2 linked regions of the Lepisosteus oculatus genome follow. The protein of the gene in region 1 purifies or fractionates together with the protein of each later gene. This does not show direct contact. Links are inferred from orthologs where the notes say so. Each region holds a gene or a part of one and is shown in the gene's direction. Other genes may lie near its edges.

Region 1 (8,002 bases):
ACGCAAAGACGATCAGGTCACCCTGACTCCTCTAGGGAAGAAGATGGCCAGTTTCCCTCTAGAGCCCAGGTTTGCCAAGGTGAACAAACGGTCAAGTGTTTATTCAGTGATCATACTCCATAACACCGTTAGCTCTTAAACACATGCTGTATGCAATGGATCAGGGGAACCCGCAGCAGCAAAAAATGCCAAAAGAGGAATTCAGGAGTGCTGTGAAGGACAACTTCGTTGCTACAAATCTGGAGTGCAAATTTCATATGAATGTAACTGTTTGTTTTTTCTCCCTTGGCCTGAATTGGCTTTGGAAAAAAGCCAAGTTTTATCTCTCAACAATCCATTTTATACTACAACAAAAACAAAAAGCTAATTGAAGTTCCCAAATGAATCTCAGGACATGAGAATGTTTACAGTGTTATACATATTGACTCCTAGACTAGACTTTCAATTGGGCCTGGTGTTTTTTTCTTACCCTTTTCTGTTTTTCTCCAGACAATCCTGCTGTCAGCGGACTTCTCCTGTACGGAGGAGGTGCTGACGATCGTGTCCCTCCTGTCAGTGGACAGTGTCCTCTATAACCCCCCTGCCCGGAGGGAGGAGGTCTACTCCAGGCGTAGGAAGTTCATTTCCAGTGAGGGAGACCACATGACACTGCTCAACGTCTACAGGGGCTTCAAGAACGTGGGCGGAAATAAGGTGGGGGCGTCCTCAAACGTTCCAATACCCACAGGATTTAGATACACCTTTCTTGGGCAAACTGGCAAAACCAATATTGAAAGGGTTGGCAGGAGCTGATCTGCAGTATTATGTATCGCCAAGCTGTCTTTCCATTCTACTTTTTACATTTTTTTCCCCTTCGCGTTTTGCAGGATTGGTGTCGAGAGAACTTTGTGAACAGCAGGAATATGTCTCTGGTGACAGACGTTCGCAGTCAGCTGAGAGAGATCTGTGTGAAGGTATGAGACTTTGTGGATGTGTGGTCACCAATCAAAAGGGCTCTGGCTGTTATGAAATGTATTAAAAGAAAGGTGTTGCCCAGGAGATGACTAGAGAGTTGGGCACCTCATAATGCAAAGTATTAAAATAGAGCAGAGCAGTTTGGTGTCAGAGACTTTATTTAGGAGGTGTTATTTAGGGGTTATTATTTTGGTAAAAAAACATTCATTTTATTTGAAATCTGTTTTGGTTTTGCTGTTTGAGTTAAAAAGATGCGCTTGGCCTCACCCCTGTCATCATAATGTCTGATTAACTTCCCGGATTTTTATCCCCCTGCACGCAGCTGGGAATTTCCCCCGAGTCCTCTCGCTCCGATATGGGAAATGTCCGCCGCTGTCTGGCGCACGGGCTGTTCACGAACGCAGCCGAGCTGCAGCCTGACGGGACGTACATGACCTTGGACACTCACCAGCCTGTGGCCATCCACCCCTCCTCCGTGCTCTTCCAGGCCAAGCCGGCCTGTGTGGTCTTCAACGAGCTCCTGCACACTTCCAAGTGCTACATGCGGGACCTCTGCCTGGTGGACCCGGACTGGCTCCACGAAGCTGCGCCCGAGTACTTCCGCCGCAAACTCCGGGCGATCAAGAGCTAACCCCCCCGACCAAGAGGCAACTTGTGCACTAGATCTCAAGGCAGCATCTTGTTTTCACCCCACATTCACCCAAAAACAGTCTATGGTAACAGAGTAGCATACACTGTTGGATTACAAAGCATCCATCCATCCATCCATTTTCTAACCAATTCTTCCAGTTCAGTTTAGTGTTGGAACTGGAGCCTATCCCAGCAAGCAACAGGCTCAAGGCAGGGTACACCCTGGATGAGATGCCTGCTTACACAGCATCTTTGTTCCAAGATCAGTTGGTGGAATGCAACACATTTGGCCTTAGAGAGAAAACTCACTGTATCACGGATGTGACAAAGATAGTCTGGTGTTTGTGGTGAGAGTTTGGGACCTGTGGGGTTGTCTCCAAAGACAACTCTAGAAATGACTCACAGTTTCAGCCTGCTCGGACAACGTCTGACCTCCACTGACTCTGTTCTGTCACCTCTCAGCTTTCCCTTGTTTTTTTACTCTTCCTTTCTCTTTCTCAGGGCTAAATCATCAGCAGATAACCGAATATTAACTTAAGAACCAGCCTGGACAATGAATTCAGCCATGCAATGAGACCTTTTGTATTCTTTTCTGGAAGAGATGGGCTGTTGCTGTGATAGATCAGTCAATTATAAAGAACTGAGCCCCACAGTGGTAGGTTTTCCACAGTTCTCATGTGTCTGGCACAACCTTGCTTTTGTATTTGACTGCTGGCAGTTTCAAGAAACACCCAACTGCTATAAAAATAGGAATATGATTAGCTTCACAGCCAGACTGCTGAGCTGTGGAGCAATAAAGAGATGTGCATTTATTGTACCTTTCAATGGCAGATATTATTGTGAATCATCTCATTCCTCCACTACCTGTTCTGCATCTTCAACAAGTTGGAAATCTCCTGAAAAACTCATTGTTAATGGAAGTCTCTTTACTTATTCTATCATTTGGCCTTAAAATGCTTACATGGTTTGACTAGCAAGCCTTCTGCTGCTGGTATTACAAATACTGGTTGGAACATGACCAGTTTCCTCCTTTCTTTATAGTGATACAGTGCAAAAAACCCAGGGAGGAGTCAAGTCACAGGATAACCTAGGTTTTTTGGGGACGGAGGCATAGATTTATTTTTTTCTGTAAATCGTGTTATGATTCTTCTTAACCAACACGGATTTCTTCACATAGTTTCACTGTGATCTTGCCAATTTTAATATTTAGTCTCACGTGCTCCCTTTAACCTGAGAATTGGATCTCTGAAACTTTGTGAACAATGGCCAGATTTTCAAATAACCCATGTTAAAGCTAACGTCATATGGCATTAACAATTACCCACAGAAAGAATGATAAACCTTCACTTTGACCTCCACCCTAGACTTGACATATTTAGCTGAGGGAACAATTGCACATTAATTGTAGATTAAACTGGTGGACCATTATTTTTCTTAAATTGCTTGTTATTTCAATATTTAACTTCTGGGAAAGCAGGTAATACTTTTAATAGAAGTCACTCATAGTTTAATCGCATGCCATATTGCTTTTCAGTGGCTTTACACCACTGTAGCATTTCACACATTTCGGGTGTAAAGATCTGTTACACTAATGTTCACTGGTCCAGTAGAAAATCACTCTGGTTCTTAAATAGGTGAGTTTATTAGTGTTCACTTCCCTCTGTATCTGTCCAGCACTGTTGAGCAATTGCTGATTTACCCATGTAAAGTAGCAGTAGGTTTGCAGTGCATGTTTTAGAAGTGAAAATAATAAGTTGTTAAATGTAGTTAAATGAACCTATATTAGACAACAACACAGGGAATTGAGTTTTAAGCAAGGTAATTAAGCTCCAGACAAATTCAGTCCACTTTTTCTAAGGTGATATTCTGTTTCCATAATTAAAGAGAAAGGTTATTCTCGAGGCTTGAGCTATTGTAGGTTGTTTTAAAGTGGGCTCTTCAGTACCTTAGAACAAAAGGGTTGTCAGGGTGTGGGTCCACGTTTTTGCTCAGGGTTAAGGATTTGTCACACAACGTCATAACAACAGCAGTGTTGCAACTATGCTGTTTATGCTGATTAAGAGGGGCTTAGTCAAGAGCAAGTATGACATGAACTACTTTCAGGACGAGAATATAAAATGTGAGTATTAGGTTTGTGCGTCATGAGAGCTGTGAGAATAATAGATGCTCCACAGCAAGGCTGGGGAAAAGGACAGATGATCAGTTGTTACTGTTGTATTTCATTATTTTATTTACAGAAGGAAATACGGTGAATGTCCTCTTGAAGAAAATACACAAGTTCAGAAGGTTTTCTGTGTAAATGGGAGGATTTGGCTAAGAAGCCTCAGAGCAGATATTGGTGCAAAGGGTGTTTTGAGTAGGTTCTTTTGATGGGCACAGAATTGTATGAGTGACACAAGGCTTTGTAAAATAAAATATTTATAATAAAGACTATTTCTACACAATGTGGTGTAGAATTTGTTTTCTATATGTGTTGCATGTGTACTGTATATGAACTTCTTAAGTTCTTCCTTAACAGCTCACACATCCCACACATTTAGTCTCTAAATCCTTAAAGACGAGCAGATGTAATGATGTAATAATTTTTATGTAATAATAATGTGGGAAGTGGGGTGCAGACCAACTTCATGGGCGGAAAGCGCTGTCTCAGGGGGACCAGTGTGTCTGCAAGATGTTCTAAGTCACCAGAATCTGAGGATTGATTATGTACTGTAGGTCATTAGGAGTAGAGTTAGCATGAAAACCTGCAGACACACCGCTCTTGGAAGACCAGAATTGCTCATTCTTGCCCTAGTTTAAATAAGGCACAGTACCACCTTTATACCACACCCTTACTACTTCAGGGAGCAAAACTGAAGACCTGCACCCACACAGTCTAGGGTTACGCACAAAAGTATAAACGTCTTAAGCGGTTACACTATTCATACACAAAGTATGAATCGAAAGTCAATCGGTTTGCTTTAAATTTTGTAAGTGTTCAAATTTTACCATTATTTTTAAGACTTCAAACTAGCATTCCAGGAAAAAGGGAACATGGGATAAAAACAATCCAAACTACCGGTCAAACAAGGACACGGGCTGTGTTGCACAGTTGAAGAATACGGTTCGTCTAGAATACATTTTGCCACAATACACATGTATTTGTATTAGAAAAGGGCACTATTTATAGCACAATTTTAAATGTAGTTAGATTTTAAAATTATAAAAATTGTAAGATAAAAATAAAAGTGTTGAGGGAAAAAAAATCACATAACACCGGGTGAAAAGCTCTTAGGATATTTCTCTGGAAAAGTAATGATAAATAGTTTCCAGCCACTCCAGAGGTAGAAAGATGAGCACGGAACTGTTATTCTACTTAATGCGTTTCTACGACCATATTTTAATAGCGCACGGACATCTTTTTCCAGTTCAAAGGTAAAAGGTCACTGCGAAGGAGGAGGTCAGAGCGTCCTTTCTGCCGACACGTGGTTTCCAGTAGTTTCTTAGCGGTTTGAGTCTGATCAGTGGGAGAAGGGTATTCCGTCGCACGCTTTTTTGGGGGTGACCTCCGATTTCAGTCAAACTTCTTCAATACTAGCTTAGTCGTCTGAAACCATGTTGAAGTCTCTTACCCGGGCCCTCGGCGTCGCCACTCGTATTTCCACCAGCACAGCCGCCTCTTCCACCCGGGTGCTGGAGCCTCTGCTCCGGCCGGCTGTCGGCGCTCCCAGCTCGGCAACAGCTCGGCCCTTCACCCGCTCTATCTGGATGCTGTGCAGTAGCGGCTCCTCATCGGAACACAGGCCGGGGTTGCTGAGCAGTAGTCGGGGTATCCCATCGGTGTCGTGCGGCTGCGGAGGACTTCACACGGAAGGTAAGCATAAAGAAATAATCCTGCGAATTATTGTGGGATTCTGGGGCTCTGATGGTATATCCGGGACGATTGATGCTGCTCGTGTGCGTTAACCCAGATGTGTTTCTTACAAACAGCGTTCAACCGGTTTTGTTACAATCACGTTATGGACAAAAACGGCCTTCAAGAAGATTAAAATGAGTTTTGCAAACGGTAATTCCGGTTTGACATTCGGGGCTACAGTATCCCCACATGATCAGTGAAGTGTCGAAGAAGGACTTGAAAAACCTTTTGTTTTATAAATCCGGGACGTTGAATTGTAATGATGCTTCGACACACATGCCCTTGATGTTATTTCTGTAGAGTGATACACGCTGTGAAGAGCACTCCAGACTTCTGTGCAATATTTCGATTATAGGCGTGAAGCATTACATTCAATGCACTGTCCATCTGTAATTATGAGTATTGTGTATACATCTAAACACCTTCATGGCAAGATCGGTAGTTTCCTACTGTATGCTTTATAGTTTTACATTGAAAATAAAAAAAAACTTAAGTGATGTACCTTCTCTGTATCTGTGTAAAAAAAACTAACAATGCATAATCGGAAACACATTTCTTTGCCAGGAGACAAGGCATTTGCAGAATTCCTGTCAGATGAGATTAAAGAAGAGAAAAAGATTAAGAAGCACACAGCGCTGCCCAAGATGTCTGGGGGCTGGGAGCTGGAACTCACAGGCACCGAAGCCAAGCTAACTAGGAAGATCGCTGGAGAAGTGTAAGAGAAATGTTGAACCCTTTCTTCAGAACCTCATGGCACACAAAGTCAGCCCCGGGAAGGCAATTTGTTCCCCGAAAAGGATGATGATTGAATAATTTAAACCCCACTCTTCGCATGCCATACTGCATTTCAATTAAGATTAAGATTGACATTTGATTTCAATTTCTCCACCTTTAGGGTGTCTTGATGTGACCTTCCCTTGTATATCAGATGAGTCATCCAATACACCGTCTAATCCTTCCGACCGACACAATCCACCTCTTTAGTTAGGTGTTAAACCAGTCTGTCCTTTCAGGATCTGGCTGAAGTCAGCTGGTTGACTATTTAAGTGAAGAATCTATTCATCAGTGGATGAATCTGAATGTCAGAATTCCTCCTCAGAGTTGTGTGTTGTAAGTCATGCACGTTGGGCAGTCATGAGTTGTAATTACTGGGTGGGTGAAGTAACATGGCTTATGGCTAAAACACCAAAAACCTTTCTTAACAGTCAGCATCAAATGCTGTTATTGGTTTTATGCAGTTTAGCACAGGAAACCCTGAATATCATTAAATGGGAAGAAGTCTAGAAGCAGCAGCCTATTGATTTGACATTAAAAGAAGCTGGGGGGGGGGCAGCATTGCTGTCAATGGGGCCCTGGGTTCAATTCCAGTCCTGGGGTGATACTGCGTGAAGTTCGTGTGTTCTCCCCGCATTTGTGTTTGAGTTTCCTCATACACACTGGTGGGTTGATTGTCCTCTGAGAAAAATGTGTGTGCCCTGTTATAGGCTTGTGTCCCATCCAGGGAGCTCCCCTCCTTGCACCTGTTGCTTGCTGGGATAGGCACCTGCTCACCTAAGGAAGCAGCAGCTGGGAAACAGGTGGATGGGGAAAAACCCAGGGAATGGGGATCATCAAAGATGAAGATAAATGCCAAAATATTATCAAGGACTTAAGTTGCCTCAAGCTGAGATTAATGCTTTGACCTCTTGCCAGGATGCTGATTATTTCCTTCTGTCTTTTCTCAACGCTGCAGGGTGTCGGTCACATTCAACATCAACAACAGCATCCCACCCACCTTCGATGAGGAGCCAGAGCAGGGCCAGAAGCCCTCCGAAAACGAGGTGAGCGTGCACTTGGTTCTGCCTGTGTAGAGTCCAGGTCTTGGTGGCGTGAGTGGTAGACTTCTCTCATAAAGGGCACTGGGATATAACCAGGGTCTTTATGTGATTGTTCCCCTTGTGTTTCTTCTAGCCTGAAATTGTGTCAACACCCAACTTTGTCGTGGAGGTGGCGAAACAGGCTTCAAACCAGTCCTTGGTGTTTGACTGCCATTATCCCGAAGATGAGGTGGGTCTCTCGGTACTCTGCCCTGGTCATTCATGAATGGGCACTGATCTTCACACTGGGCTCAACAGGAGTTGCTGACATGGCTCAGAAAGTGAACAGTCATTGTTGATGGTTTGCACAGGTGATTATTTCATGTGTCGCATATGGACTCACCTGAAATAATCATAGAATCAAGTGCAATAGAACTATGTTATCTTTTATTCCCACAGTTATTTGGTCAATTAACTGTTTATTTTAATACCTATATATATATATTGTTTTGTTTTTTTCCCTTTTTATCATACATGGATGTCTCTTAATGGGTTAGTGTTCTGTTAAATGTATTGTGTTACCCACTTGGAAAGCAAATTTCCCATCTGGGACTATAAAGTATAACAAAGGAGCGATTAATTGCGGTATTAACGGGCCGGGTTTGCTGTCCAGGTGGGCCACGGCGAGGGAGAAGAGGAGAGTGATATCTTTGCCGTCCGAGAGGTC
Region 2 (7,934 bases), on another chromosome or scaffold:
TCTTCCATGGTTCTGATTTGAAATCTCAATTTTTGAAATGTTGAAGTGAATTGGTTAACCCCAGAAAACAGAACAGCAGGAGTTTCAAAACAAACAAAACCGGCTTAATTTGCATTTCAGCACTGGGAAAACAAACAGTCGTCCAGATTGCCTCTTAACCAGACAGGGCTTAAAACATTGTTGGGATTTGTTCCTTAATTTTGTTCCATTTTTCAGGCAGTCGTGTTTCCCAGCACTGCTCTCCACAAAACAGTGATACAGAGTGCACCAGCTGTTCCAACAGCACATACATAGATCACCCCAATGGCTTGACAAAGTGCTTAGACTGTAAAGTCTGTGACTCAGGTGAGCAAAAACTATCTTCATGGGGTGTATTTCATGGGGAGGTGGAATGTGCTCTCAAAACATAACCTTTGCAGCAAAGCAGAGAAATATAAAGAAAATACCTTACTCTAGTTTGGTGCCATGTAAAGTTTCAGTGATTGTTGATAAAACTGTGTGTAATCCGTGTGGTTACTAATTCAAGTCTGCTTTTTAGTTCTGACTACACCAGACCTAACAAAATGTAACTGTAGCAAAATGTGCTTTTACAGAGTAAATAGTATACCATCCTGAGAGTGTCAGTGCAAGGAGACATCAACTTAGTTTCATGAAGAATAATGACTCCAAAAATTGCATGGACACAAGGAGGGATCACACTGTAGTGGACATATGTTCATCTAGTTTCATTGCCACATGATGTAGTTTTCATCATACAGTTGTCTGAATAGGTCAGCTAACTTTAAAAGCCATGTGTTTACAATCACACGTGCGTACAGTCTAGAGTAAATGTGCTTATGCTGTATTTTTGGGTTGTGATAGATTAACAATAGAACATTTATTTGTCCTAGTTATTGTCCTGAGTTTTCAGCTTAAGTAAAAAATGTTCAGTTCTGTGCTCATATCCTCAGCAGCCTTATAATTGTAGCTAGGATTAGAAATAGAGGGATCTTCTCAGTTACCCCCCCCGGATGATCCAAGTGTAATTCAGAATTATTGACACGATGCTAGAGTGTTGAAACACTTATCTTGTGCTCAGAGCTGGGTCTTTTTGTGAAGTCCCCCTGCACCAAAGTGAAAAACACTGTCTGCCACTGCTTGAAAGACTTCTACTGTGTGGACGGCAGCAGTGAAGAATGCCACCTGTGTCCTAAACACTCCGTCTGTCAGCCAGGACAGTGGGTTAAGCAGAATGGTAAGTCAGAAACCTGGTTCCTTTCTGCTTCTATTTATGTGTTTTTTGTAACCAGTCTGTTTTAATTTGGTTTGATACACGGATGATCTTTCAGAACACAAGCCAAGTGTCAACTAAGAATCGGTTATTGATTTATATCATGTACTGTTTAAGCTAATCATAAGATGGCTTGGTGACAGAGTGGCTAGCATGGCTGCCTCACATGGCTGGGCCCTGTGTTCAGTTCCAGACCAGGGGTGCCGTGTCTGTCCGCCCTGTGTTTGTGGGTTTCTGCTGGGAGCTCTGGTTTCCTGCCACAGTCCAAAGACATAATAAGTTAAAGGGAGTCTGGGAAAACTGGCCTTGGTGTGCATGCAAGAGTGTGTGCGTGTGTGTGCCTGTATTTGTGTCTGTCTGCCCTGTGATAGACAGGCGTCCCGTCTAGAGTGTCTCCTGGCGTGTGCCCATTGGTTGCCAGAATAGACTCCAGCTCCCCTGCATGCAACCCTGAATAAGAATAAATAGACAAGAAATGGATGCACATGTTAATCATAACTTATGTGTTATTAATATGTTCAGGAACAGCTAAATCTGACACCATTTGTGAAGAATGCCCTACTGGCACATTTTCAGCAGAAGAAATGTCATTATCATGCACACCCTGGACTGTGTAAGTGTCTACATCTTTCTTTTGGTGTCTTGTAAAATAATGTCAAAATGAATGCACTAATATTATTTTTTTACTGATACTGCGGTATGTTATGAACATTCAATATCTCATCTTGACATCTTGACACTTTTGAATTGTGAGTGCTTTTATTTCCAAGAACATAATCCATGAGCTTTTGCACAGGGACAGATCATGATGTTCCTGTTTTTTGGCATGAAGGTACAGTTCCAAACCAGGATGGTGCCGGGAAAACTGAGCTGAGTGAAAATTGTAACCCGTGGTATTTCACAACCAGAGACAAATTGGTTGAAATAATATATTCTCCATGTATATGGTTTTTCCCCCAGACCAGGAAGTGCAAAAGGACTGTTTAACCCATTCCAGTCCAGTGCAGCATCTTAGAAAAGATATTCCGTATACAGTAGAAGCAGCTGATTCTAGGACTGACTACATGTTTTCCATACTCCCCAGTCACACTGCCACTACCCACCAGAATTCTGGTACTAGATTGTGGTGAACGCCTTCCTGTCATAACAGGAAGATGGATTGTAACCTGTGATATCCAGGCTATCTAACAAATCTTGATTACCGGGAGTCATTAAGGAACTACATCCTACAGTCATGAACAGAGTCAGAAATAGCTCATGAAGGTGAATGGCCTTTTAGTTTTAGACCAGGGCTCGATATCTATGCTTAGATTAAATCCAGAACTTTTCTCACACTCATATGTTCCAAGTTCTTTCTTCATGGGGGAGTAAAGATCAAGTACCTGTATGAAGTATATGCCTGAAGTCTAGTTTAGTAAAAGCACATGTAGAACCAGAATCAGTATCTGTCTTGGCCTCTTCAACAGCTCTTCTGTGGAAATCAATAGGGATAGACGATGAACAGTTTGCAGATGAGAATAAAATAATACAGTAGCAGGGCTTCGAAAACCAAATGTTATTTTTTTCTTGTGTTGATGTGTTCTCATACTGGTTTATTCTTGTATCATGTGTGTGTATTCTTTTGTCTTTTCAAGGTGTTCAGGTGGTGTCCTGTCTAGAGGAAATTCAACCACTGACGTAAACTGTAATGCATCCGTATCAAGACAGCATACCATACTTGTTGTTTTCATAGTTGTTGTTCTGGTTTTACTTGTATTTTTGATGTACAAACTAAAAACTCAGAAGTCTTAATTATGTGCTTTCAAAGCTATTTAAATATATTGTAAAGAGATTGTGTGACATAAAGTAATGTACCTCAACAGTCAACATCATTCTTGAATAGAATTGTATCCATGAACACAGTCATAAATAGTGCATGAATACCCCTTCAGCTGTATATCTTGGTTTCTTATCTAGGCTTAGATTAAATCCACACTCTATTCATATATTCCATGTTCTTTCTTCATGGAGGGTAGAAAGAAGAACATTCTGTCAAGCAGAAAGCTGAGATTAGTTAATCGATTTGCAATTTGCAGCTTCTCATTTAATGTGGTCCCTACTTTCAATTGGAAATTAAATTGTTTTGATTAAATCCCCATGTTTCAAAACTATGCCAAACTTGAATGGACATTTTTAAATGTAACCAATTTACCTATAACATATAGAATCCACTAATACTAAGTGTTTAATTTTGAAGACATTTCTTACATCGTACTTCTCTTTAGATGGAGGGTTGTATCCAGTGTTGCATTGTCAGAGCACACTAATAATAATTAATGGCATTTATTCACTGAAGTAGGTCCACTACATCCATCACTGAAGTTGGGCACCCTCCTAGGTGATGCCCAATACTACATGTCAGCAGCCCCAATACAGATCAGGCGGAGAAGAGGAATTACTTCGCTAATTAAGAGGGAACTTTAGGGAAACCAGATTATCCAAGAGGTGCAAAAATTGAAAAAGAACTGAAGGTCACGTGAATGTTAAATTTAGAAAAGTATGTAGCATTTTTGTGTATTTTTTGTGAAATAAAATGTTAAAATAAAAAATAATAATAATAATAATTATTATTATTATTAAAAATAAGCACATACTAGATTCTATACTAACACTGGATTCCTTTATATTTTCGTAATTTGCATTACTTTAGAAGAAACATATTGTACTTTCTCTGAATATGTATGTAAGAACTGAGACAGGAAAATAATATGTATGGAGTTTTTTTTGTATTTCTCGGGTTTTTCTATTGTTTGAAATAAAAAATAATTGCACTGTGAACGGCTTTTTATTCCAGACTGTTGGTTTAAGTGTTATATGCAGTTCACACCGCAGGTGGCGCAAACGGCAATTGTAAGAGGACCTCTGCTTTTATGTGGAACTCTTCTCGTAAATTTCAGACACCCTAGAAATCCTCACTTAGAACACCTTGAGGCATTATAATTACAGATCTGGACCTGATTAAGATTTACTGAGATTACATAAAACCTTTTGTACAGCACGACCTTCCTAGAGCAGCTCATTAAAGTACGTTCTCTTGTTGTGCGCAGTCCGCACTTGAACAATGCATTCTTATTTGCATCCAATGTATAAATGCCACCTGTCAAAATAAGACAAAACGACATTTTATTGCTGACTGTAACGTCCTCGCACGGGCAATTTATCGCTGCCCTTTTTAAATTCATTGCATGTATTCAAAACATTTGGATACTATAGATCTTCGTTTTGTATGCATTATGCGCAACGAATGTCCAAACCAAGATATGAATTGGTTTTAAATAAATGCTTAGAGAACTTTCTTCTGTCCTGTTATATTTAGCAGCTATGGAAAAGAAAAATGCATGATATGAGTTGTTCAATATGTTCTGTTTTGCGGGCTTTTGGTTGGACACAGGTAAATCCAACAGTCGTCTGATTGGATAAGGAATTTTCCGTTCACTTTTTAATTCAGGTAAATCCCGAACGGAATTCCAATTGGACGGGGGTAATCCCACGAGTTTTTGGATTGGCTACAGGTGTTGCCTGCTCTTCCCGGATTGGAAAGCAGGTGTGACTCCATCGTTCCGATTGGCTCCGGCTCTGGAATTCTCCGCCATGTTCCCTCAATCCTCCCGGGAGACGCTAGAAGCCGTCTAAACAGAAACTTCTGGAGTTGTTTATGATTGCTGCGAGCTGGGAAGAAAACGATACAAAAATCGAAATAAATACAAGCAATGCACGAGAAAAACAATAACTACCGGGACTAAAAACTCATTTCTGAGAATTTTTAAGCACCGAATTGTTTTTTAACTGGTTTCCTGAAGTTTTTGATTTGGCTATACTTTGCTCAGTAAGATAGCTGTCGTGGGACGGTAAATGTTACAGTTTTACTAACTTCAGATGAATACGTTATCAACAGATTTCTGTATTTTTCCCCCCCGATAGGCAGAACAACATTCTGGTGACGGACGTCTTGGAATAACATGGATTTTTGGAATAAAAAGTTGAAACTTGGAAGTGCACGACTAAATTCCAGTTCAGCCTAATTTAATTTTCCAGTTATACACTTCACATGCTGAACTAATATGTCTATTTTGTCCTCTTTAGCGCAATCATTTAACAAGCCATTGTAGGAGTGTAGTGTAACTGCTGAATTAAAGCTAAATATAATATTGCAACGTACGTCATCTCAGATCATTTATTAACTGCGTAAAATCTATTAATGTTGAGCTGGATGTTAACGCGATGAACATTTGTGTCTAACTCAAGCGGAAAATGTATTTTCCATCCTGTGGGGAATGAATGATTTTATGATTTTATAGAGTCCTCCTTTAAATACAGCAGCTCATTATTATGTGGGTCCGGCAGTTACAGTAGTGTCTGTACCGTACTAGTGTTTCGAGTAATTGCGTTTCAGGAGCAACACAACAGGTGGAATTGAGGAAGGCCAGTCCAGACTTGCCAGTGTCCCTCTGACTACTGTGTCGCGGAATAAGTAACCAAGGCAGGTGACAGGTGACCGAATTCCTAGAAGACGGCAGCATGATACAGAATCGGGGAGAAAATAAATGAGATTTTTAACCTTTTTTTTTTTTTAAAAAAAAGCGCAACCTGTTGAATTCGCCCTGTCGGTTGTAGTCGTTAACACGGAGGGAACCAACAACAGAAGATCCTGTTTCACGTACTGTATTTGCTACCCCACTTCTGTCGGATTACAGTATTGGCTCTTTATATTTAATATTTTTGGAGTACAATGCCTACCAAACAAGGATCCGTGATGAGCATGCACCTGGAATATGTGCAAATTAAGGCACATTACGGCGGGTGAGTGTAATAAGTTTAGGTTTTGTAACCTGATAACTGTTAATTAATTAATGAATTGTCAACAGCCCACGTTAATCGGCTTCCTCTAAATAAACCTCTGTAACGGGACTTTCCACGTTAACTGAGCAGTGTAGTTTTAATCCCGTTGTTGAGGGAATTTTATTTAGATGAACTGATGGTAACCACAGATGAGGTTTGAGTGCTTTGCGATTATTGGCTTTTCGATTTGGACTGCTCTCTCAACCCTTTTCTCAAAGGCTGAAAAGCAAGACAATTCGCCATACTTAGACTAAACATCTTTAACTATTAGATATGCATGTAAACAGTTTCCCCAATTTCCTGACTCCCCTTTGGCTATTGTGAATGACGCTGTCTTCCTCTTCAGGTTGATCAATAACTTTTAAATCTCTTCTCATTCGTTGTTGGCAAGGTTATATGAAAGTTTGAGGTACATTGTCTTACAACATGTTTGCGGATGGTCTTTAGATACTGCCCTGTTAAGTTCTTACTTGGGTATATATAAGTTCTTACTTGCATTATTTATCTGTTGCCCAGTCGGGGGTTTTTTTACGTTTCTGTCTTGTTAGTGTTTGGATGACATTAACCGTGTAGTGGTATGTGTCTTTCAAGGTGCCCACTTGTGCTTTGTGGGAGTTAATTTTTAACTTACTTTCTGTACGCGAAAGAGGCAGATCCCGAAACTCTGAAATCAGGTGTTGCAAGAGTTTGTGTGCGCTCAGTATTACATACAGCTGTCAACGTCACACAGATACTGTTATTTCTGAGTTTCTTAAACTCACGCTTATCCGGGTCATATAAAATATAAGAATATCACGATGGAATTTGGATAATCGTTCCATCTACTTATCAAATCCGTAATGTTTTTGTTTACTAACCTCTTCATTGTATAGGTTTGATGCTACACTATACAACTAATTTAACTTTGGGATAGTTTTTGCACTAACTGCAAATTTCATACTTAGTTCTTCTGTATGCGCTTGGACAGTTGTGTACTTTTCGATTTCTCTAATTTCAATGGAGATTAATTTTAATACTGCTTTCTCTAGTCAGTGTTTATGATTAATCCCCTTTAGTTCTTGGGTTTATTATTGAATCTACCTAGAGTCAAAACAAACTGTGACTGTCTGGGTCTGTGTAGTTCAGAACAGCTCATATATGTAAATACATCAAATGGCTATAGAATTCCTCCGTTGTTTTTTGATGTAGAACTACAATGACTGAGATAAAGTGAATACTTTGTCTCGAGCTTGAGTTAAGTAAATATAGATAAGAGAATATAGTGAGCATCATTTAAGAACACAGTTTGTTTACAAACTTTTTTGGTCCATAGAAAATTCTGCCTTTGGGTTTCTAAAGGCAAATCTTAACACTTGACTATAAAAGTTTTATAGAAAGTTTTAAAAATAATATAAAAGTGACCTTCATTAGAATCAGTGTTTTTATAGAAGGAGAACAATGGAATTGTTCTGACAGAACTTTACCAGACTACAGTCTTGGTAATTTGCTGAGTAGTGCAAAAAATGTTAGTTCTGTTGCTTGTTTAAAGCATTGACCTACTGAGATATAGCGTTAATAAGTCACCAGATTCTAGCATTGGCCTGTTGGATTCTGTTTGGCCTGGAACCTATTGCAGGTGCATGCCAGTTCAGAAAATGACAGCAGAGCAGCTGGCTGAAAAATGACCTGTGTTACACTGTTCCTGAAGCACTCCTTGACTGAAATTGACAGGAGGGGACAGTGTCTTTAAACCAGCTTTCCACACATAATGGAATATTGTGTCTAGTGTGAAAGGCAAGTCATTACT

The links.
Region 2: the proteins of c1qbp (region 1) and prkcz purify together in Homo sapiens (affinity purification with mass spectrometry; 5 studies listed by BioGRID and IntAct, with this or other methods). This does not show direct contact. The link is inferred for Lepisosteus oculatus from reciprocal best matches to the Homo sapiens genes C1QBP and PRKCZ.

What each region holds. Positions count from the first base shown.
Region 1 is NC_090721.1:3,224,404-3,232,405, forward strand, and holds the start of c1qbp (complement component 1 Q subcomponent-binding protein, mitochondrial), read left to right. Parts: upstream 1-4,997; 5' UTR 4,998-5,178; coding exon 5,179-5,437; intron 5,438-6,043; coding exon 6,044-6,194; intron 6,195-7,211; coding exon 7,212-7,299; intron 7,300-7,429; coding exon 7,430-7,525; intron 7,526-7,948; coding exon 7,949-8,002. Other genes in the region: ATP-dependent RNA helicase DHX33, read left to right, coding at 1-79, 490-693, 867-953, 1,277-1,585.
Region 2 is NC_090720.1:3,964,400-3,972,333, forward strand, and holds the start of prkcz (protein kinase C zeta type), read left to right. Parts: upstream 1-4,914; 5' UTR 4,915-6,038; coding exon 6,039-6,109; intron 6,110-7,934. Other genes in the region: uncharacterized protein, read left to right, coding at 217-345, 1,079-1,234, 1,793-1,883, 2,905-3,061. UniProt on the Homo sapiens protein: Calcium- and diacylglycerol-independent serine/threonine-protein kinase that functions in phosphatidylinositol 3-kinase (PI3K) pathway and mitogen-activated protein (MAP) kinase cascade, and is involved in NF-kappa-B activation, mitogenic signaling, cell proliferation, cell polarity, inflammatory response and maintenance of long-term potentiation (LTP).